Linked DNA regions of Ovis aries. The protein of the gene in region 1 interacts with the protein of each later gene in a pairwise test. Links are inferred from orthologs where the notes say so. Each region holds a gene or a part of one and is shown in the gene's direction. Other genes may lie near its edges.

The links.
Region 2: the proteins of RBM17 (region 1) and QRICH1 interact in binary tests that used the Homo sapiens proteins (3 or more experiments, as listed by UniProt). The two-hybrid records come from large-scale screens. The link is inferred for Ovis aries from reciprocal best matches to the Homo sapiens genes RBM17 and QRICH1.
Region 3: the proteins of RBM17 (region 1) and PPP1R12C interact in binary tests that used the Homo sapiens proteins (3 or more experiments, as listed by UniProt). The two-hybrid records come from large-scale screens. The link is inferred for Ovis aries from reciprocal best matches to the Homo sapiens genes RBM17 and PPP1R12C.

The regions. Positions count from the first base shown.
Region 1 is NC_056066.1:10,893,499-10,900,094, forward strand, and holds part of RBM17 (splicing factor 45), read left to right. Parts: intron 1-204; coding exon 205-346; intron 347-2,805; coding exon 2,806-2,957; intron 2,958-4,014; coding exon 4,015-4,088; intron 4,089-4,573; coding exon 4,574-4,672; intron 4,673-5,857; coding exon 5,858-5,930; intron 5,931-6,058; coding exon 6,059-6,162; 3' UTR 6,163-6,596. UniProt on the Homo sapiens protein: Splice factor that binds to the single-stranded 3'AG at the exon/intron border and promotes its utilization in the second catalytic step. Involved in the regulation of alternative splicing and the utilization of cryptic splice sites.
Region 2 is NC_056072.1:50,995,358-51,002,390, forward strand, and holds part of QRICH1 (transcriptional regulator QRICH1), read left to right. Parts: intron 1-2,664; coding exon 2,665-2,842; intron 2,843-3,401; coding exon 3,402-3,556; intron 3,557-4,702; coding exon 4,703-4,817; intron 4,818-7,033. UniProt on the Homo sapiens protein: Transcriptional regulator that acts as a mediator of the integrated stress response (ISR) through transcriptional control of protein homeostasis under conditions of ER stress.
Region 3 is NC_056067.1:63,067,809-63,075,409, forward strand, and holds the start of PPP1R12C (protein phosphatase 1 regulatory subunit 12C), read left to right. Parts: upstream 1-2,902; 5' UTR 2,903-3,051; coding exon 3,052-3,372; intron 3,373-6,939; coding exon 6,940-7,070; intron 7,071-7,153; coding exon 7,154-7,272; intron 7,273-7,601. UniProt on the Homo sapiens protein: Regulates myosin phosphatase activity.

The DNA.
Region 1 (6,596 bases):
ACAAACCATAAACCCCAACTGAAACCAGTCTCTGGGAGTGGAGCCCAAGCATCTGGAGCTCTCTGAGCTTCCTTGCTGATTCTGTTGCACAGCTGGGGTTGCATTTCACTGAACTGGCATGTGGTCCCTGACCTCAGAGACCTTTGTTGTATGCTGGCATAAGGAGGCACAAAAAATAAAATCCTGTTTCCTGTCATCCAACAGTACCCCGAGACTTCCCTTACGAAGAGGATTCACGACCTCGCTCACAGTCTTCCAAAGCTGCTATCCCTCCCCCAGTGTACGAGGAACAAGACAGACCCCGATCCCCAACCGGCCCTGGCAACTCCTTCCTCGCCAACATGGGGTAATGGTCCGGGCACTTGCGCCTCGGCGGGTGCAGGGAGGGTGGGACTCTAGGGGGGCAGGGGTGGTGTGGTCAGACCTTCCAGTGGATGCAGCGCGTTTGGAGATGAGGGCTTTAGCGGGTTTACAAGGAGAGCGTGGCATGCTCAGTCACACGGATCAAGGCTTGAGTCACTGGGAGGGTATTGCAGCACCACCCTGTTAAAAAACTTTTGTTACAAGCTTTCTATCAGAAGTGTTGAGTGATTAGGATGCTGAACATTATATTCTCTAGGTAGGAACAGTTTCTGATTGTTATCTATAATTGTTTTCAGAACATTTGCAAATAAACAGCTCATACGAATTAGACCTGACTTACACTATGTCCAAAAGATGAATGACATCCTTTTTTTTTCTTGATAAAATGACCTTTGCTTTAAGGTCATGAGTCTATTATACTTTTGGTATAAAAACTTTCAGTTATTCTACTTATAATTAGAAATTTGTTTGCCAGTGTTTGAAAATCAGTTTTAAGGTTGACTTCGGGTGGGGCTTGTGGGGCTTTTTAGGACTTGCTGGATTTGGCATGTGTTTTGGTTAAGAGAGTGTTGTGTATTGTTTATTCCGCTAGCACTCTGGGGGGTGGCAGTGGAGCAGCGTTGCGCTGAGGCCTTTGCTCTCTGTCCTCTAGAAGGAGGGCGCCTCTGATGGAGAGGCTGTGTCTGCAGAGGCCTCTCTGGTCTGCCCTCGCCTATGTGAGCGCTTTGATTCTGCCTTCGCTCCTTCGGGGCCGGGCTGGCCAGAGCTGAGGAGCGGGCCAGGGTTCTTCACACGCTGTGAGAGGATTTGGAGTTCTCATCTTGATACCTGTCTTCTTGACCTGTGCTGTTCTCTGGGGGCTCCTGGCCACTCAGGGCTCTTGAAGTAATTGAACGTGAATAGAGTTCAGCATATATTTCTTTCCTCACGCTAGTCTCGAGTGCTCAGTAGCCACACAAAGCTCACAGCTACTGCCCTGGGCAGTGCAGACAGAGGATGTTCCCCTCATTGGAGAGAAGCCTGTTGGGCTGTCCTGGAGTGTACTGAAGGGGCACAGGCGTGACATCACTGGGGGCTGGTTTTGTTTTTTTGCTGGTGAAAAAAATTGCCTTATTACTGGCAAGAGAAAGGTATTAAATCTTTATGCCTAAAGAAGGTACAGTATAGTACAGTTATCAGTCTTCAGTCTTTTTAGCCCTGGAACAACTTGTTCAAATGAAATATTTAAGGAAATTACGTATGTGAAAAACGTAGGTAAGGTCCGTCTAGTCCAGGCTATGGTTTTTCCAGTGGTCATGTATGGATGTTAGAGTTGGACTGTGAAGAAAGCTGAATGCTGAAGAATTGATGCTTTTGAACTGTGGTGTTAGAGAAGACTCTTGAGAGTCCCTTGGACTGCAAGGAGATCCAGCCAGTCCATCCTAAAGGAGATCAGTCCTGGGTGTTCATTGGAAGGACTGATGCTGAAGCGGAAGCTCCAATACTTTGGCCACCTCATGCGAAGAGTTGACTCATTGGAAAAGACTCTGATGCTGGGAGGGATTGAGGGCAGGAGAAGGGGACGACAGAGGATGAGATGGCTGGATGGCATCACTGACTCGATGGACATGAGTTTGGGTAAACTCTGGGAGTTAGTGATGGACAGGGAGGCCTGGCGTGCTGTGATTCATGGGGTCGCAAAGAGTCAGACACGACTGAGCGACTGAGCTGAACGGAACAGTTCGGGTTGAAGCAGGGTTTTGGGGTTCAGGCCCTAAGAAGCAGTGGTCAGTGCCCCTGAGGCTCCTCCCTGTGTAGTTTGAAAGCTGTTACTGATTAGAGGAAGAGCAGTGGACTAAGAATTCAGAGCTGCGGGTTTCAGTTTCAGTCCTGCTGTTAATACCAACATGTGGTGTCTTGCTTTGCTGTCAGTCAGCCTTAAGCGAGGCAGCCACTGTGGGCCCCAGTTTCTTTATTTCCATCTATTAAACAGATAGTCCTTAAGCATCCTTCATTTATGAAGCCAGTCATTGGAAACTCTTCTGTACTACTTAGAAAAATGCAGTCATCTTCATTACATGAGACTATACTTAGTTTTTGACAGGATTACTTAAATTGGTTATGAGCCTTGTAGCAGAGCAGGTACAGGGGCACCCAGGAAGTCTGGTATTTTCTAACAGAAAATGCAGTTCCCTGGGGAGCTCTTACCAGAGGAACTAGTGTTTCCTTCACCTCAGAGGTAATCTCAGTGCACCCAGGATTCCAGCATCCACTTTTTAATCTGTCTTCTGAACATCCCACAACTTCTGTCTCTTAGCCCGTTAGTAGATAAATGGCATCATCAACGCCCTTGTGGAATCTACATTCTCTCCTCCCGGAAGGAGATTACTGTGATGTAAAATCCAATCTGTGCTGTAGCTGATGGCCCAAGTACAGGGACCTTTCTCCTTTTCCTCCTCGCAGGGGCACGGTAGCACATAAAATCATGCAGAAGTATGGCTTCCGGGAAGGCCAGGGTCTCGGGAAGCATGAGCAGGGTCTGAGTACAGCGCTGTCGGTGGAGAAGACCAGCAAGCGGGGCGGCAAGATCATCGTGGGCGATGCCACCGAGAAAGGTGGGCCTCCCCTCGGGCAGGGCTCCTGGGGGTGTGGGCGGGGGCAGGCCATCCTGAATGAGAGAATTCCTCATCGTGATGCCTTCCAGCTCTGGGTGGTGGAAACAGTTCTGAGGCCCATCTTTACAAATAGTTCAAGACAGAGAGACAGAACGCCTGTGGGAGGAAAAGAAGACGAGAGGCTTTGGCAGCAATGAACAGGACTCCAGAAATCCTGTCATGCCTGCTTCTCCTCGGGAAAGAGCCTTGTTATACTGATAGAACCGTTACTGAGTTTTTATAGCAACGCAGAGCCATACGCAGTATATCAGTAATTCTTTCTGCTGTATCTCTATTCTGTAAGGGTTCTCTGCTTTTTGCTTTTTTCTGCCCTTTCATCCTAATTTTCTTACTGACTGCTCTGTAAAACTAGCATTATTTTGCAGTCTTCTGGTAGGTGATGCCTGCTTGGTGTTCTATTTTCATTTGACTGTTACAGTCTGTTCTGTAGTGAGGGCACGCTGGAATGAGTCAGGCATGATTTAGCACTTCAAGCAGGAGAACTCCGTAGTTTTGAATCAGTCTTAGCTGAATGCTTTTTCCTGAAGAAGGAAGAGAACTTTCCTGCCAGGCATGTTGACGTCGAGCTTGAAGCAGCACTAAGCCTCACAGGCTGGAACCAGAAACCAGCAGTCAGCCCAGTCTGTGGGGGTATTTGACACTGGTCAGCTCACGGCTGGCTGATGAACTGCTCGTTTACACTGGGCTCACGACCTCTGACCACTGCCTGAGTCAAGACTCGCTTCTGAGGGTGGTGATCACTGTGCCCTGTTGGCCCTTTAGGAAGTGAGCTAAGCAAAAATGCACCTGAGGATATTAAAAAGTTCTAGAATTTATGGTAAAAATTATACCAAAGTAAAGTGATGCTTTCGGATAGGAAAGGCTACATCTTGGCTCAGAGACTGTGTAGATGCTGGCTCTAGGACATAGAGAGTGGGGATTGGTGTTCAAAGTAAATTGCTCGTTGTAACTTAGACTTGGTGCCCTGACACTTCTGTCTGATGATGTTTTCTTACAGACGCAGCCAAGAAGTCAGATTCAAATCCATTAACTGAAATACTTAAGTGTCCTACCAAAGTGGTCCTACTCAGGGTAAGGAGCTGAGGGAGGAGCCCTGTTTGCCCTGTGTCCCTCCCCCCACCCTGTCCCTGCAATCAGTCAGCCCGGCTGATGATGGGATAGCTGAAGCGAACTGAAGGTGGTAATTGTGGGAAGACTCCCTGGAAGACTGGTTTTTAGATTCCTTTTCACTAGTGTTTCTTTGCTAAACATTAGTATTTAAGACTACAGTGAGAAATTACTTTAAAATGTTTGAAGTTGTCAGAAATTCAGCTTGGTTTGTGTATTCTGGTGCTTGCCCAGTTGCTCTGGTAACTCTTATTGAAGCCTAATGTATATTTTTTAATTTTTTTAAAAAAACTAACCTACTTCAGGATATTTCAGGAATGAAAATTTTCTTTGAATCATTTGGGTTTGGAAACATTTGCCATCTTGGAAAAAAGTTACTTATACATCTCTTTGACATAGTTGTCAATTATACTCAGTACTGGAATTTATATGTTTATTTTTGTTTCTAGAACATGGTTGGTGCAGGAGAGGTGGATGAAGACTTGGAAGTAGAAACCAAGGAAGAGTGTGAGAAATATGGCAAAGTTGGAAAATGTGTGATATTTGAAGTAAGAGAGATTTCTTTGTTTATAACCCAAGTTATGATTGATAGGTCACAAAGCATTTTCTGTAAATAGAGGATGCATTGTAAGTAACATACTGTCTTTAGAAGGTGACATGTGTTGGTTAGTTATACTGCTTTTACTCAGTTATTGCAATTTCAGATATTAGCATAAGAAGAACTTCAAATTTTATTTGGTGAAGAGACATTTCATTTTGTGACTGACGTTTAGACTTGATGACAGTGGGCTCAGTAGTTTACTGACGGGCGTCACATGTGCCTTGGGCTTCCTTCTTTTGGCAGGTATTTTATGTAGTGCCTCCCACATACCGGTACTGACTGTCCTGGGGTCAGGGAGGGGCCTCCTGTGCTCTCGGTGACACACTCAGTTGAAGAAACATGAAGTTAGAGAGTGTTCAGTTGCTAGACTCAACACTGACTTACAAGTACAGGAATTTGAGAGAAGACTTAGATCAATACCGAATAGTTGGAGGAGGCTTTGTGAACAGTATCAGATGTGAGCGGAGCTTTGGACTGTGTGCGTAGGATTTGGGTAGGAGGGAACGGGCCTTCACATAGGGTCATGGCTTCTGGAGACTGGGGAGGGCTGCACGGTGGTGGGTGTGGTGGGGATTAGCTTACACAGTGCAGCAGGGCCTAGAAAGCTTAACAGAGGAACTCAGCCTGGTATGAGAGACAGCATACAGATGTTTTATTTTAGTTCCTGCTCACCTCAGCTTCTCCTCCATGCTGGGTTGCGTCTGTTGACTGCATAATTATCTGTTCATGTGTCTGATGGCATAGGACCTGCAGAGGTCTTGTTTAGCTGCCTTTTGCTCGCACTTAGCACACAGCCTGTCCAAAAAAAAGACGTTCAGTGAATTTTGATGACAAGTAAATTACACTTAACTGGAAAAGGAAAATGGCAACCCATCCCAGAATTCTTGCCTGGCAAATCCCATGGACAGAGGAGCCTGGTGGGCTACCGTCCATGAGGTCACAAAGAGTTGGACACAACTGAGTGTGCACATGCACACACAAACGCAGATTACACTTACGTCTTTGGCATTTGAGCACTGCTTGTCTGGAATTGGAACACTCACTCTGACAAAAATCATTTTACGGAGGAAAACTCACAGTCCGTGACATCTCTGATGATATCTTTACTTACTGTACTCCATTTCTTTTCCAGATTCCTGGTGCCCCTGATGATGAAGCAGTACGAATATTTTTAGAATTCGAGAGGGTTGAGTCAGCAATTAAAGGTAAGCTGTACAGCTAATGATGAAGAATTAAAAAGTTGAACTTGTGATCTTAATATTTTGAAGACATACTGTTGTAATGTCTCGTGGAATTCCTGCCTTAACTAACTGTCTTTTTGTTTGCCTTTTAGCTGTTGTTGATCTGAATGGGAGGTATTTTGGTGGACGGGTGGTCAAAGCATGTTTCTACAATTTGGATAAATTCAGGGTCCTGGATTTGGCAGAACAAGTTTGATTTTAAAAACTAGAGCCTGAGTCATCTCCAGCGGTCCTTCATCGAGGTGCAGACTGAGCAGAGAAGAGCAAGGCGTCAGGGGCCTTCATGGCTGTGGGTGCAGAGACTCTGTAAGACTTCTAAGATATATGTTGACTGATCCCTTTTTTATTTTGTGGTTTTTTAATATAGTATAAAAATCCTTTTAAAAAAAACAAACAAAAAGCAATCTGTGTGCCTCTCTGGTTGTTTCTCTTTTTTATTACCACTTCTGAGGTGATTACATTTTTGGCTAGGATTTCATGATAATTCTCAAGTGCTTCAGTGATACAGCATTTCTTGCACTTAAAAAAAAAATCTAGAAAGTTTTGGTGGGGTAGTGTTCCCCTTTTCTTTCTTTTTTTGATTTCTTTTCATAAAACCTGCAAGTTACTAAACTGTAGCTTCATAAATTC
Region 2 (7,033 bases), on another chromosome or scaffold:
TATCTGTACAGGCTGTCTCTACTCACTGAGCAGTTTTCTCTTCCAGCTCATGACCAGGTCTGCTCTTGTCAAGGTCATTGTTCACCTACCTCCCCATGGCCAGATCCAGCAGGCATATCTGTTTTTATCTCACTCACAGCAACACACAGCAGAGCAAACCAAGCCTGCCTTCTTGAAACTCTCCTCTGGACTTCTCTGATATTTCCTCCTACCCTACTGGTTATTTGTCCTTCTCAGGAGACTTTGCTGAAGCCTCCATCTCTGTCTGAACCATACATGTTGGTGTTACTCAGAGCTCAATACTAATGCTCTTTTCTCCCCCAGGGGATTTCTGTCCATTGCCATGATTTTCAGAATCCTCTAGATGACTGCTGCAGAAGGTGATAATCACTGACACCTTCTGCCAGTCACTGTCCATAGTGTTACATGTAATACTCTTTTAATTCTCACACCAACCTTAAGAGGTATGTACTACTGTCTCCATTTTACAAATGAAGAAACTGAGGTACAGAGATTAAAGTCACCTTTTAGCAAGTGACAGAGTTGACATTCAGCCTTGGATAGGTGGGCCCCTAAGCCCATGTGTTAACCTGTGTGCAGTCCATGTACTGCAGTGACGCACAGCTCTGTATCACTAGACTGTACCTTTCCCCTTCAGACCCTTACTATACGTTCAGCAGCCCACTTATTATTTACTTGCATTTGTTAAAGATATCTCAGCTCTTCATCAGCATCTCCTCTACCACTATGAAAAACTATTCATCTCAGAAAATGATACCGTCATCTACCTAGTTATGTAAGCCAGAGACCCAGAGTCCTTGAGTCTGCGTTCCCTTCCTCCTCACAATGAGTTCATCAACAAGCCATGTTGGTTCTGCCACCATATCAGAATCTCTTAAATCGTTTGACTGCCACCATCCTGGTCTTGGCCACCAGCACCTACTTCCACTATTCCATTTTCTATAGATCAAGAATAATATTCTTAAAATGTAGGATTATATCACTTCCCAGCTCTTTAAGGGCTCCATTGTAAATAGGAAAAACTCTACACCAGGGGTGTGCTTGCATCAGTAGTTTTTAACCTGGATGAAACTTCTATTTCCCTTACCCACTGATAGACATTTGAATGTGTGTGGAAGAATTTTGGTTGTCAAGGTGGTTGGGAGTGTTACATTTAGTGAGTGGGGGCACACTGAAGAGAATCTGGCTGCTAAGACAGAGAAGCACTGCTCTCGTCTGCTAATCCTGTCGACTCCTAGCTTTCCTACTTGGGTAGGTAGTGTTGCCATTGAACAACAGGGAGGAAAGTCTGAGGAGAATACTTCTGGGTGGGCAAAGCGATGAATTCTCTCCCTAGATAGTAGTTTGAGGTGGTTTTGAGATATTCAGTCAGAGATACACAGTACCCATTGAGTGTATTAAGGCGTGATCTAGCTTAGAGGCACATAGTTAGCAACCGTTTCCACAAACATGGAGATCCTAATGGCAGGTGTTGGAGACTCACCAAGAAGAATGGTGGTTGAACTGAGAAGTGTGTCTGGAGGGGAGCTCCAGGGTTGACAGACGTTTAAGAGTCTGGCACTGGTATTTGGTTGTCTCCTTGTTTAATAGTGTATCTTGTATCAAAGCTAGTTGGATAGTTTTTATTTTTATTGATTGATAAGCAAATGTATGTGTCATATATTCATTGTTTAGCCTCCAAGTTGAATGATTTGGCATTTGTCAGCCCTTTAGGTAGGCCCTGGAATAGAAAATTGTTCTAGGGAATTTGTTTTACAATTTAGACCGGTTTGTGAGACCCAAGAACCTGTGCTTTGTATCTGTGTTGGTGTCTGTCCTGCCTAATGGGGACTGTGATTGAGGGTCATGGACATTCTCTGTCCTTTTGTCTGCACAGTTCAGCTCTCAGACCATGGAGAATGGGACTGCTCTTTGGAGGTGGGAAGCTCAGACATTGCTTCCTGTCTTCAGAAAATGTCCTTATGAGCCAAAGCAGTATTATTAAGAAGAAACATGATGATTCTCAGCCATGACTGGACATTAGAATAACCAAGAGAGCTTTTAAAAGTACTGACTGCAGGCCGCCAGCTTAGACCAAGTAAATCAGGGCCCCTAGGGACAAGGCCCAGACATGGATATTTTTTAAAAGCAGCCCAGATGATTTTAAGGTGCAACCAAGTTTAACAGTCTGGACTCTTGGTACAGAAAGTGTAGTCTGAAGACCAGCTCCCTTCCTTGGGGGTTTCTTAGCAATGCAGAATCTCAGGTCCCATCTGAGATCTTTCTAATCGGAATCCACGTTTTAATAAAATTTATTTGCACATTGTAGTTGATGAGCAGTGCTTTTTGCCAGTAGCTCTGGGCAGTGACTAAACATTAGAATTGCCTTTTTACATGGGAAGATTTTAAAAAGACTGATACCTCTTTAAAAAGAGATTCTGGGGTGGAGCTCAGGTATTGGTGTTTTAAAATAAGAGAGTCAAAAGTACAGTTAAGATTAAGAAGCTTTGTACTAGCGTTTGCTGTCTCTGAAGTAAAGAACAGGACTCCAAAGTTTAGGAGAGCAAGCAGAAGAGCAGCTTTTTAGTTAAAAGAGTTATAGCATTTTTCTGGCTGTTTTGTCAAACGACCTATTGACACGTTTTGATGATTTCTCTCTCATAGGCTCAAACTGTCCAGGTTGCTGAAGTTGAACCCCAGTCACAGCCACAGCCTTCACCAGAACTTCTGCTTCCAAATTCTCTGAAGCCAGAAGAAGGGCTTGAAGTGTGGAAAAACTGGGCACAGACCAAGAATGCTGAGCTTGAGAAGGATGCTCAGAACAGACTGGCACCCATTGGGAGTAAGTGTTCTGGAGGGCAGGGGGGTTGGACTGTGTGTGAAATGCAGTGGCACTGAAGCAGCAGGAGCACGGATGGCAGGAAAGTGTATCTCTTGGCTCTGGGCATGTGGGCGCTCCATCTGAAATAGTGTGCTGGATCCAAGACAAGAGGCAGGCTGGACCTGCTATAAACGAGCAGGATTTGTGGGGTGTGCCCAAGATCAGAGACTTCTGGGAGGAGATAGGAGCTGGTGAGTGTTCTTAGGGCGCCTCTTACTTAGCATTATCCTCATATACTTCCTCGTATTACAGAGGGTGGGTTTTGTGTTTTTGCTTTCATTTCGTGGCCCTAATAATTGGGGGATATGTGAGATGGGACGGGAACCCTTTTAGTAACAGGGCAAACAGGATTATTGTCTTTGTAGGTTAGTTTTGATCACAGATTCAAGTGATTGTTTTCACCCCAGCGCCTTGATGGGTGGTGGTGTCTGCTCTGTAACCTCCTTCCAGGGATATGAGAAACCAGTAAGGAAATGACTGTTGCCAGGACCCTCACTGACCTTTGGGACTTATGTTGTAGGGCGTCAGTTGCTACGATTCCAGGAAGATCTCATCTCCTCTGCTGTGGCTGAGTTGAATTATGGGCTCTGTCTGATGACACGGGAAGCTCGAAATGGAGAAGGTGACCCCTATGACCCAGATGTGCTGTACTACATTTTCCTGTGTATTCAAAAGGTAGGGAACCGAGCTGCGTAGGAACCTGTTTGCCTTGTGTTCCCATTGGGTATTTGCTGCGTAGTCAAATTAGTAATATGTCAAAAGTGGTAACAGTAAAGATACTCTCTTCCAACTATATAATGAGGTTTTAAATGTACATTTTTTAAAAGTTGGAAATGTTTTTAAATGTACATTTTATTTTTAAATTGGAAAAGATCTACATGTTCACTTTAGAAAATCAGATAATAAAATAATCCCTCAATCTAGAGAAATGTTTGTTAAAATATATGATATATTACATTAGAGACTTTTTAAAAAAAATTATGAAACATTTATGTAACACTTTTTGTTAAAGTAAACATCTAGTTTTCAGAAAAGCAATTTTTCCAGAACAGTCTGGTGCTGACATATAGTTCATTTTCTCATTGTTTCCTGCATTAATGCAAAATAATTATTTGAAAGAGTCTAGCTAAAATATACAACTGTAGTTAGGTTTTCAGGATATCTAAGATGAAGATGAACAGGGAGATTCATTTTAGGACCAGCAGTTTCAGAGACCAGATGGGGATTTCCTGGTGTTTGAATGCTATTGTAGAGAAGCCCGTGGTGTGATGGAAGAACACTTGCTGACTGGGACTCACCCTGTTGCTTGGGCCCGAGAAAAACCCATCTCCCATTTTGTTAGTCTGTTTTAGCAGTCACTGGGAGCACTGGGTGAATTAGTGTATGTGCTTTGTCTCATTCCATGCTCTCTCACTCATGCAAGGCAGGCATAGTCATCTCCAGTTACACACAAGGACACTGAGCCCCCAAAGTTACAAGACTCAAATGAGTTACATAACTTACACCGTAGCTGGTAAGAGACTGGCCCTGGAGCCTGCATCATGCTTTTTTGCTACCATAAGACAGTGCCTTGCTTGGGTGAAGTAGCATTCATGAAATCTGCTCCATTGGCCAACTCTCAAGAGTGTTGTGAGAGTTAGTTCCCATCCTGAAGTATGCTGTGGAAGTGCCGCGCACTGGGCGGTTTTGACTCAGTGTGCTGGTTGGTTAATGGGGGACGAACGGGTAGGGAGATGTGAGGGTACTGCTCGTAATTGTTTGCTTCCCTCAGCATCTTGTCAAGAGTCTACCAACAGCTTTTATTGATTATTTTCCTTTTAGTATCTTTTTGAGAACGGACGGGTTGATGACATTTTCTCCGATCTTTATTATGTTCGATTCACGGAGTGGCTGCATGAAGTTCTGAAGGACGTTCAGCCCCGAGTCACTCCACTTGGTAAGAATCTTCCTAGTCCTTGGATGTCTTTTGAACCTGGGTTTAAAAAAGATAAGCTGCTTGTGTGGCTTGCTGTGATAATAGCATGTGGGTGAGGAGGCTGTAAATCGCAGGCCCCAGCGTCGGTCTCTGTGCTGCTTGGCTCAGTATGGAGGGGCATGGCTCACCAGAGCTGTTTATTATAATTTTTTAAAATAATATATTCTTTAAGAGCAGTTTTAGGTTTACAGGAAAACTAAGTGGAATATACAAGGAATTCCATGTATTCCATCACACTGTGTCTCCCCTGTTATTAGTATCTTGTATTAGTGTAGTATATTTGTTAACATCGAGGAGCCAGTATTTGATACCTTGTTGTTAACTTAAGTCTGTAGTTTACATTAGAGTTCTGTTGTATATTTTGTGGCTTTTGACAGTGTATAATATGTACCTACAATTCAGTATCACATACAAGTTTTGCTGCCCTCAGATCCCCAGGGTTCCACTTAATTCGTCCCTCCCTTTATCCCCCTGAATCTCTGGCAACCTCTGATCTGTTTTACTGTCTCCATAGTTTTGCCTTATTCAGAATGTCATATAGTTAGAATACTTTAGTATTAATTTCTTTCACTTAGCAATATACGTTTAATGTTCCTGCATGTCTTTTCATGGCTTGATAGCTCATTTCTTTTTATTGCTGAGTAGTAGTCCATTTTATGAATGTGCCACAGTTTGTTTATCTGTTCACCAATTAAAGGACATTTTGGTTGCTTCCATGTTTTGGCAGTTTATAAATAAAGCAGCTGTAAACACTGTGTGCAGGTCTTTGGTGAAAGAACAGACAGATCCATGGGACAGAGTATAGAGTCCAGAAGTAAAGCCCCATGAGTGTAATGAATTTATCTTTGACTAAGGGGCAAAGGCAGTTAAATGGAGAAAGGATAGTCCTTTTTTCTTTTTCTCTGTTTTTTGGCTTTACTCTGCGGCTCATGGGATCTTAGTTCCCTGACCAGGGATTCAACCCGGGCCATGTAGTGAAAGTGTCGAGTCCTAACCACTGAACCTCCAGGAAATTCCCAGGATGGTCTTTTCAAGTAACACTGCTGGAACAGCTGGACAACCACACATTGAAAAAAAAAAAAAAAGAATCATAGACCCAAATGTAAAACTATAAAACTCCTAGAAGGTAAAATAGAAACTCTAGGTGACGTTAGGTCTGGTGGTAACTTTCTAGGTACAACATAAAAAGAATAATGTATGAAAGGAAAAAAATTGGTAAGTTGGACTTTATTAAAAATTAAAAAGCAAAAACTTATGCTCTCTGAAAGGCATTATTAAGAGAATGAAAGACAAGCCACAAACTGGGAGGAAATCTTGACAAAACACATACCAGACAAAGGGCTGATATCCAAAATTTATAAAGAACTTTTAACAGTCAACAATAACAAAGAAAGAACCTTTACCTGTTTTTTAATCTGAACACATGATTCACCAAAGAAGGTGGCAGATAAGTATATGAAAAGATATATATCATCAGTCAGTTGTAAATTAAAACAGCAGTGATGGGAGTTCCCTGGTGGCCTGATGGTTAGGTTTCGATGCTTTCACTGCTGTGGCCTGGGTTCAGTCTCTGGTCGGGGAACTGAGATTCAGCAAGTGGCTTGCATAAATATTGATACATATGTGCATGCATACATGGATACAGTGATATAACATTATATGCCTGTTAGAACGGCTGAATTCCCAAACATGTTACCTTAGGATGCACCAGTCATGCTTCTTCTTCTTTACCCAGATGACGTAAAAACTTATGTCCACACAAATATCTGAGTTCTAATCCTGGCTCTGCCATTTAATGAAATGTATACTGACTGAGATAAAATTGGCGTAGCAGTTTCAGGTGTAGAACAGTGACTTGATACAGTTGGTGTATACTGTGAAAGGATTTAGTCTAGTTATCATCTGTCATCGTGATTACTGCTTAAGTGTTAAAGTATCATTTAAACAAATGCCTTTTGAGTGCCTACTGTGTGCCAGGCAGTTCCAAGTGTAGATTATACAATTCAGTAGTGAAAAAATGGAAGTTTACAGTCTAATATGGGGAGACTGTATAAATAATCAAGTTAATTTATGATAATTAAGTACTTCGAAGGACAAAGCACAGAGAATGGAAAGTGTTAAGGGTGTTAGGAAGGAAGCGTCTCTAAGGAGATATCATTAGAACAAACACCTGAGTA
Region 3 (7,601 bases), on another chromosome or scaffold:
CCACGGGGTGCCTTTCTCAATATAATTCTCTCTCTTTTTAACAATTAATTAATAGGTATTTATTTTGGCTGTTCTGGCTCTTCACTGAGGTGTGGGTTTCTCTAGCTGCGGTTCGTGTTCTCAGTACTTGCTGTATGTGGGATCTTAGTTCCCCGACCAGGGGTCGAACCCATGTCCCTTTCACTGGGAGCATGGAGTCTTATCCACTGGACCACCAGGGAAATCCTAACAATATAATTCTCTGTTAAATGTAAAAGGTTCCTTTGTGCAAAAAACTCTTTCAAGGTCAGTTAAAATAGAAATTAGAACTGACTTCTACTATGCTTACCCCTGTTTTCTCACAGAATAGAGGAGTCGACTTGATACTTTGTGAATGTCCTGTTGCATCCCTTTATCCAAACCATCTTTATGAGGTCAGTTTTTCTGCCTCTTGCAGGGAAAAAGGGAACATGTTATCTTTCCAAGGCTATTTTCACCAGCTGTGAGGTTAAGCATCAACATTCCAGTGCTAGCATTGAGAGAAAACAGCAGGCTTGAGAAGTGAAAAAAAAAACCAAACCCCTCACCGTGGAAAAGAGAAGGGCAGAAGAGAATTGTAATGAGTAAAATATAAAAATGTCTGTACAGAGCCAACGTCTGCCTACGAGACAGGCCAGGTACACCGTTGCAACAGCTCCTGGAGGCAGAGATGAAGAGATTAAGCCTAGGTCCTCGATCAGACCCCACAGTTAGGAAGTGTCAAGAGACAAGATCAAATCCAGGAATGCCTGTACCAGAGCTGGGATTCTTATCCATTGCAGTAGAATAGAATGTGGTAAACAGAGGTTCAAGTCTAAACGCAGCAGTCAACCTAAAGATTGCTAACGAAACTTACAGTGGGAGCATGTCCCATAGTAGGTTGTGTAGGTTGAGCAGATACTCTAACCTGTGTCTCCTGTAAATAAAAATCATAAAACTATAGACATATTTACATCACAGCTTATAGACACAATGAACACAAGCTTCCAAAAACAGTATACACCAGGCTACAGACACAACCACAAAGACACACATCACAGTTATGCACAGGTCAGGAAGACCCTCTGGAGAAGGCAATGGCAACCCACTCCAGTACTCTTGCCTGGAGAATCCCACGGACAGAGGAGCCTGGTGGGCTACAGTCCACGGGGTCGCAAAGAGTCGGACACAACTGAGCGACTTCACTTTTTACTTTAGAGAGACACAGATAACCGAAGACACCCTAACAACATACACACCATTCAAGCTGCCTGAAGAAGAAGGTGGGTGTATACGTTGAATGGGAAGTGTGGGATTGAAAGGGCTACACATCCCCAAAGCCACCCGAACTGCTATTCCTTTTGTATCCATCCCAGTGGTCTCCAGACTTCACGGGATCTGTCCTTTATCTCTTAGCACAGGCCCAAGAACTTTAGAGTGGGTAGAGCTGATCTGACATCCCTTGGAAAACAGAACTCTTGCCTCTGTACTTCAGAGCCATTCTTTGTGATTTTCGGAGAAGGCAATGGCACCCCACTCCAGTACTCTTGCTGGAAAATTCCATGGACCGGGAAGCCTGGTAGGCTGCAGTCCATGGGGTCGCTAGGAGTCGCACACGACTGAGCGACTTCACTTTCACTTTTCACTTTCATGCATTGGAGAAGGAAATGGCAACTCCCTCCAGTGTTCTTGCCTGGAGAATCTCAGGGACGGGGGAGCCTGGTGGGCTGCCATCTACGGGGTCGCACAGAGTCGGACACGACTGAAGCAACTTAGAAGCCGCAGCAGCTTTGTGATTTTTATAGGTCTTTTCTCTAGTCTCGGAGTGTTTGCTTCCTTCCCAATGAAGATTAAGGTGCAGAGTACTTAAGACGAGGCTCACATCGTGCTTTATGATGTTATGTATGAGTCAACTCCCCCTCCACGTCCATTAAAAAGTCCTCGCCTTGGACTACAAATCCCAGCATGGCTTGCGAGGACGAGCAGCCCGGACTACATTTCCCAGACTGCTCCACGTCCCAAGATGGTAGCGAGTAGAGGGGAGGGCCGGTGAAGGCTCTGAGGAGCTGTTATTGCGGATCCTGCCTCTTGAGTTCCCTTCTTGATGTAACCCAGGAGTTCCATCAGGGACTTGGGGTGCTTTGGACCAACCGTACCTTTAGGGTCGTGGCCCCGAGTACTACGTTTCCCAGCGTGCCCAGCGGCCGATTGCCGTGACCTTTGTACCGTAATTTTTACTTCCCAAGGTGCCCTGGGCGGTCGCCCAGGGATTTTCTTGGTGTAAGGGTTGAGAACTCAATTTCCCATAGTATCTGGAGGTTCTCAGGACCTAGGGAATCCATTCATTTATTCATTCATTCAAAATCCTCTTCCCGATCGCGTTTTATTAGGTCTCGGCAATGGGAATAGGGATGCACAAGACGACAAAAATCCCTGTTCTCCAGGGGCTTATTTCTAGTTGAAGGGATAAGACAAACCCAAAATAAGTAAGTCACATGGTATGAGGAAAGCGGTAAGGTGTATGGAAAAATTAGTTCTGTATTTTTTAGGACTCCCGGGTTATCAAGTCTGTTTCCCGCTTGGGTTCCTTGATACTGTGAACTACATTTCCCACATGCCCCGGGGCACATATCCGGCCTTTAGACTACATTTCCCAGCACCCCCAGGGGCATCCTCTTAATCAGATTTCCTTTTGAAACTGCTGAGCCGCGAATTTCCCAGTGTGCCTCGGGGCAGATCGAGGCCGGAATGTGGCCGAGACCGTTGTCCGCTTGTGGACTCCGTTTCCCAGAGCGCCCCGCGGCCTTCTCTGAGGCTGTTGCCACGACCTCTCCCGACTGCGGACTCCATTTCCCAGCGCGCCCCGGGGCGGCGTGGTGACGTCACGCGCCGGGCGGGTGCCGGTAGATCCTTGGGCGGCGCGGGGCTGGCGGCAGTTCCCGGCGGCCCGGGGGCGGGCGGCGGCGGCGGCGGCGGCGGCGGCAGCAGCAGCAGCAGCTTGGGGCTCGGTGCTCGCTCGCTCGCTCGTTCGCTCACGGGCGGGCGGGCGGCGCGATGTCGGGCGAGGACGGCCCCGGGGCGGGCCCCGGGGCGGCGGCAGCAGCGGCCCGCGAGCGGCGGCGGGAGCAGCTGCGGCAGTGGGGGGCGCGGGCGGGCGCCGAGCCGGGCCCCGGGGAGCGGCGCGCCCGCACCGTGCGCTTCGAGCGCGCCGCCGAGTTCCTGGCGGCCTGCGCGGGCGGCGACCTGGACGAGGCGCGCCTGATGCTGCGCGCGGCCGACCCCAGCCCCGGCGCAGAGCTGGACCCCGCCGCCCCGCCGCCCGCCCGCGCCGTGCTCGACTCCACCAACGCCGACGGCATCAGCGCCCTGCACCAGGTCAGCTCCCGGGTCTGCGCCGCCCGGAGCACCCTCCCTCCCCGGCCTGGAGGCACCCCGGCCGGCCCTGCTCTGCGCCGTCGTCCGCGGCGGACCCCCATTCCCCTCCGTCCCACCTGGGGCTCCCCTCTCCCGACCCTGAGCCGCTGGAGCTGACGCTGGCTTTTGCCAATCTGAGCCGCCCTTTCCTGGCCCCGAACCGTCGCTGCCGGCCTCAGCGCGGTGCATCCCCGTCTTGTCACTTCGCTGTGCTCTTTCCCGACCTTGGGGGCTCTCTGCGAGTCTCGCCCGTGCGATCGCCACCGGTGCCACCTCGACTCTGCCATCTGGAGTTGGGCCTCCCTCTTTCCTGAGTCTGTGCCCCTTGTAGCCCCACCGGTGCCTCCTGTTCCCCCATAGGTACCACTGCCCCACCCTTCCACCCCCATCGCCGTCCTCCCTGCCTGTGTTCTCCCTGGCGCCCGGCCTCTCTGCGTGGGGCCGCCTGTCATCCCTGCCCGTGCCATCTGTTGCTATCTAAGGGTGTTCTTTCCTGAGCCCCCGCCTTCGAGGCTCTGTACTCCTGAAGTGGGTGCTTCCCTTGCCCGGGTCAGCTCAGGCCGTCTCCCCTGCCCCCCTTTACCCTCATGCCCTCCGTCATTTATCTTTCTGGGGCTGTGCCACCTCTTGCCTCCCAAGGCAAGGCCTTCTCCCAGGGGTGTTTCTCCTCCAGGAACTTCCTCTCTCTCTCCTGTTGCTTTGGCCAGGCCTGCATCATCACCCCCCCTTTTTTTCTGGCACCCACCTCTTCCTGGCTTTGGGCTGCCTCTCTGTCCTCTGGTCACCTTGCATTCTCTGCCTGGATCCCCTCCTGTGAATCTGGGCAGCGCCTCCCTCCCGCAGAGTGTGTCCTCTCTCCCAGCCCCCATCTTGTCACCTTCTCAAGAGGTCCAGAGCCGGGTTACTCCCCTCTGTCCACAGCCTGGGCCCTCGTGCCTTCCCCAGACGCGCCGGCCACTGCCTTTGAGCTTCTTCTGTTCCAGAACCAGGCCCACCGTAGGCCCCACTAGCAGGGTTCCCTCTGGTTTGGGGTGCTCCTGTCGCCCCCCACCCCACCCCCCCTTTCTTCAGTGGGGCCATCAGGCACAGTTCACAGAGGACCCCTGTCCCCGAGGCTGTCTCCCTCCTAGTCTCCTCGAATTGGTCCAGTCCCCAACCCTCTCTTCCCTGCCGGAACCCCTAGGGTTTGGTTACTTTGGGACCCAGAGAGGACCCAGGGAAGGAAACCTGGGCAGGGAGCAGGGGGCTGCGGAGGAGGCCGGGAGGGCCCACGTGCCAGCTTCCCAGGAGGAGCAGCAGCTCAGGAAGGTAGGCCAGTCCTGAGCTCTGATCTCGGCTCCTCAAGTGAGTGGCTTTGAATGCGGGTCTTTTCTCTGTGCCTTGGGCTTCTTGCCTGTGAATGGGTTGGCAGGGACACCCTGCAGGAAGTGCCTGTCCAGTTGGTGGTTGCAGCCCCTGGCCCAGGTGCCGTCTCTCCCCCACCTGCACCCCCAGGCCCGTGCCCTGCAGGAGCCCCAGTGTAGAGGAGGGTCCCCCTTCCTGAGGTCCCGCAGGGTCTCAGAGCTCGACACGCCTGGGACAGGGGCCTCAGGTTTCCGAGTCCCCTTCCTGCACTGCCATCCCTGCCCCGGCTCCCTGGGGCCTTTCTGAAGGCGTTCCTGGCCCTACCTTTCCTGCTGGGTTGCGCTCCCCAGCTTGTCCCTTGGCCCAGACCCTGCCTGGCAGAAGGCCACCCTGGGATCCCTCTCGGCCTCCTGCTATAGGCAAGAGGAAGTCACTCGCCAGGGCTCTGCGGGAGGCCTGGAGGGGATCAGGGCATCCATCTGAGGCGCAGAGAAGGGGAGTCGCCCAGCCAGTGAGCGAGCAGGGGAGCGGGGCTTTGGGTCTGGGTGTTTGCTGACCAGCTTGTGCCAGTTTGCCCAAGACTGGCCTCGTTTTAGCTCAGAAAGTCCCAGGTCCCAGGAAACCCCCGGACAGGCCCGCGGGATAGTTGCTCATGTTGTCTGGGCGAGTCCGGCAGCCGTGGTTTCTGTTCCCCCTGGAGCAGGTCCCCTGGCATCAGCTCCCTGCTCTGGCTGTGACCCCAGGAGGTCTCACATCCCAGCCCCTACCCCTCGACAAGGTGACAAGGCCGGTATAGGCTGCCTCATCCCCAGATTACCTGGTAATTAGCAACTGGGGTCTGGGATAGGAAGGACTGTGAGCCAGGATTCTTAGGTGTAAATAGGGAGGGGGTCGGAGAGTCTAGGTTCCCTGGGTCTGAGGGGGGAGGGGTGGGGGGCCTGGACCCCCAGGTCTGAGGGGGGAGGGGCGGGGGACTTAGACCCCCAGGTCGGAGGAGGGTGGGGCCTGGACCCCCCGGGTCTGAGGGGGGAGTGGTGGGGACCCTGGACCCCCAGGTCTGAGGAGGAGGGTGGGGCCTGGATTCTTGGTCCCTGGGGCCCAGGACGCAGACATCTTTCGCACGGATGCCTGTGCCCGGCCAGGTCCTTGAAAGGGAAAGGCCTGTCTCCCTCCTTGCCCCCCCCCCCCATCACCATGGCAACTGGTGGAAATAAACGGTGCCCAGAGTTCATCCCGTTCCCAGGGCATGTGTGGCCCCCCTTTCGCAGCCTGAGTTTCCATGACTTCATGCTCTTGGCCCTCGTAGCTTCCTCCCCTTGCTCCAGGCGGCCGGCCGTGGAGAGGTGAGGGAGTCGGAGACTGATCTCCCCTGAGGACCCAGGAGGCCAGGTCCACTCCCGTTCCTCAGCCCTGCTCAGGCCCAGTGCCCGCCGCGTGTTTGCACGCGCCCTGGGCAAAACCCTTTCTCTGGCCCAGCCTGCTGCGCTAGCGCGGGCAGGGGCTTTGGTCTCCTGGGGCTGGGATCTCTTCCTCCATCAGAGGGGATCCTCACAGCCCTCAGTGGGGAAGGTGCCCGTGGACGCCCATGATGGGGGGCCCTGTGCCTCTCCTCGGGCCCAGGCCTGGGCACACCCTCTCTCAGCCGCCTCTCCCAGTGTCGGGGTCCTGCCCAGGGCCCTCACCACCGCCCCGCCCCACTCCCAGGTTCGCAGGGGCCTGGGGACCCCGCATGGCCTTGGGCCCCAGGGTCCGGCTGTCTCCCTACCAGGGACACGGCAGGGTGGTGGTCAGCTCTCCTGGAGAGTCTGCTGGGTCTGAGGAGGAGGGCCTGGGTCTCTTCCCTTGGGTTCAGCTCTGGGGGCCCATCCTCCATGGTGACTGGGGTGCGTCTCGTGAACAAGCATGGTTCAGGATCCCTACAGCTCCTCTCCTCTCTGGCCAGCTCCTCCTCTCACGGTCCCCAGTGAGCCCCAGAGGCCTGCCTGGCGTGGCCACCGGGAAGCCAGGCTGCGCAGGGCTGGGGGTGCCCTGCGGACATGGTGCCTTCCAGGGACCTTGGGGTCTTCCTCTGGAGCTTTGCTCGGTCGGCCCTGGGTCCCCCTCGAGGCCCTGGCGGGGTCCTGCCTTGCAAGGCACGCGGAGGGGTCCGGGGTGGTGAGGGTGACCCCCGACCATGCCCCCCAGGCCTGCATCGACGAGAACCTTGAGGTGGTGCGCTTCCTGGTGGAGCAGGGTGCCACAGTGAACCAGGCGGACAACGAGGGCTGGACGCCCCTCCACGTGGCCGCCTCCTGCGGTTACCTGGACATTGCCAGGTGAGGTGGGGAGGGTGGGCGGCCCGCTGGGCATGCGGCCCGGATGCCTCCGTCCTGACCGCGGCCCGCCCCTACCTCCCCAGGTACCTCCTGAGCCATGGAGCTAACATCGCTGCGGTCAACAGCGACGGGGACCTGCCTCTGGACCTGGCTGAGTCCGACGCCATGGAGGCGCTGCTGAAGGCGGAGATCGCCCGCCGAGGTGGGCCTGGGGCGGGGTGCGGGGCTCGTTGCCAAGGGCCCGGACCCCAGGGTCTCAGTGTGGCCTGGACCGTTTAACCCGAGAAGTCATTGAGGCAGGGCTTGGCTCGTTCTCGGGGTGACTGAGGAAACTGAGTTTGGCGCTTGTCCCGGGTGATGGTGGGTCTTCTCAGGAGTTGTGCTGCGGGGTGGGGGGCAGTGGAGGAATGCCGAGTCTTCTGGGGGTCTGGTCTGCAGTACTCGGGATCACTGCGCCCCAGGGTCCTTAACGGGGCCCAGGACCCCCTAAGCTCTGTGCCTGGCCACGCTCAGTTTTCTAGGGGGAGCCTG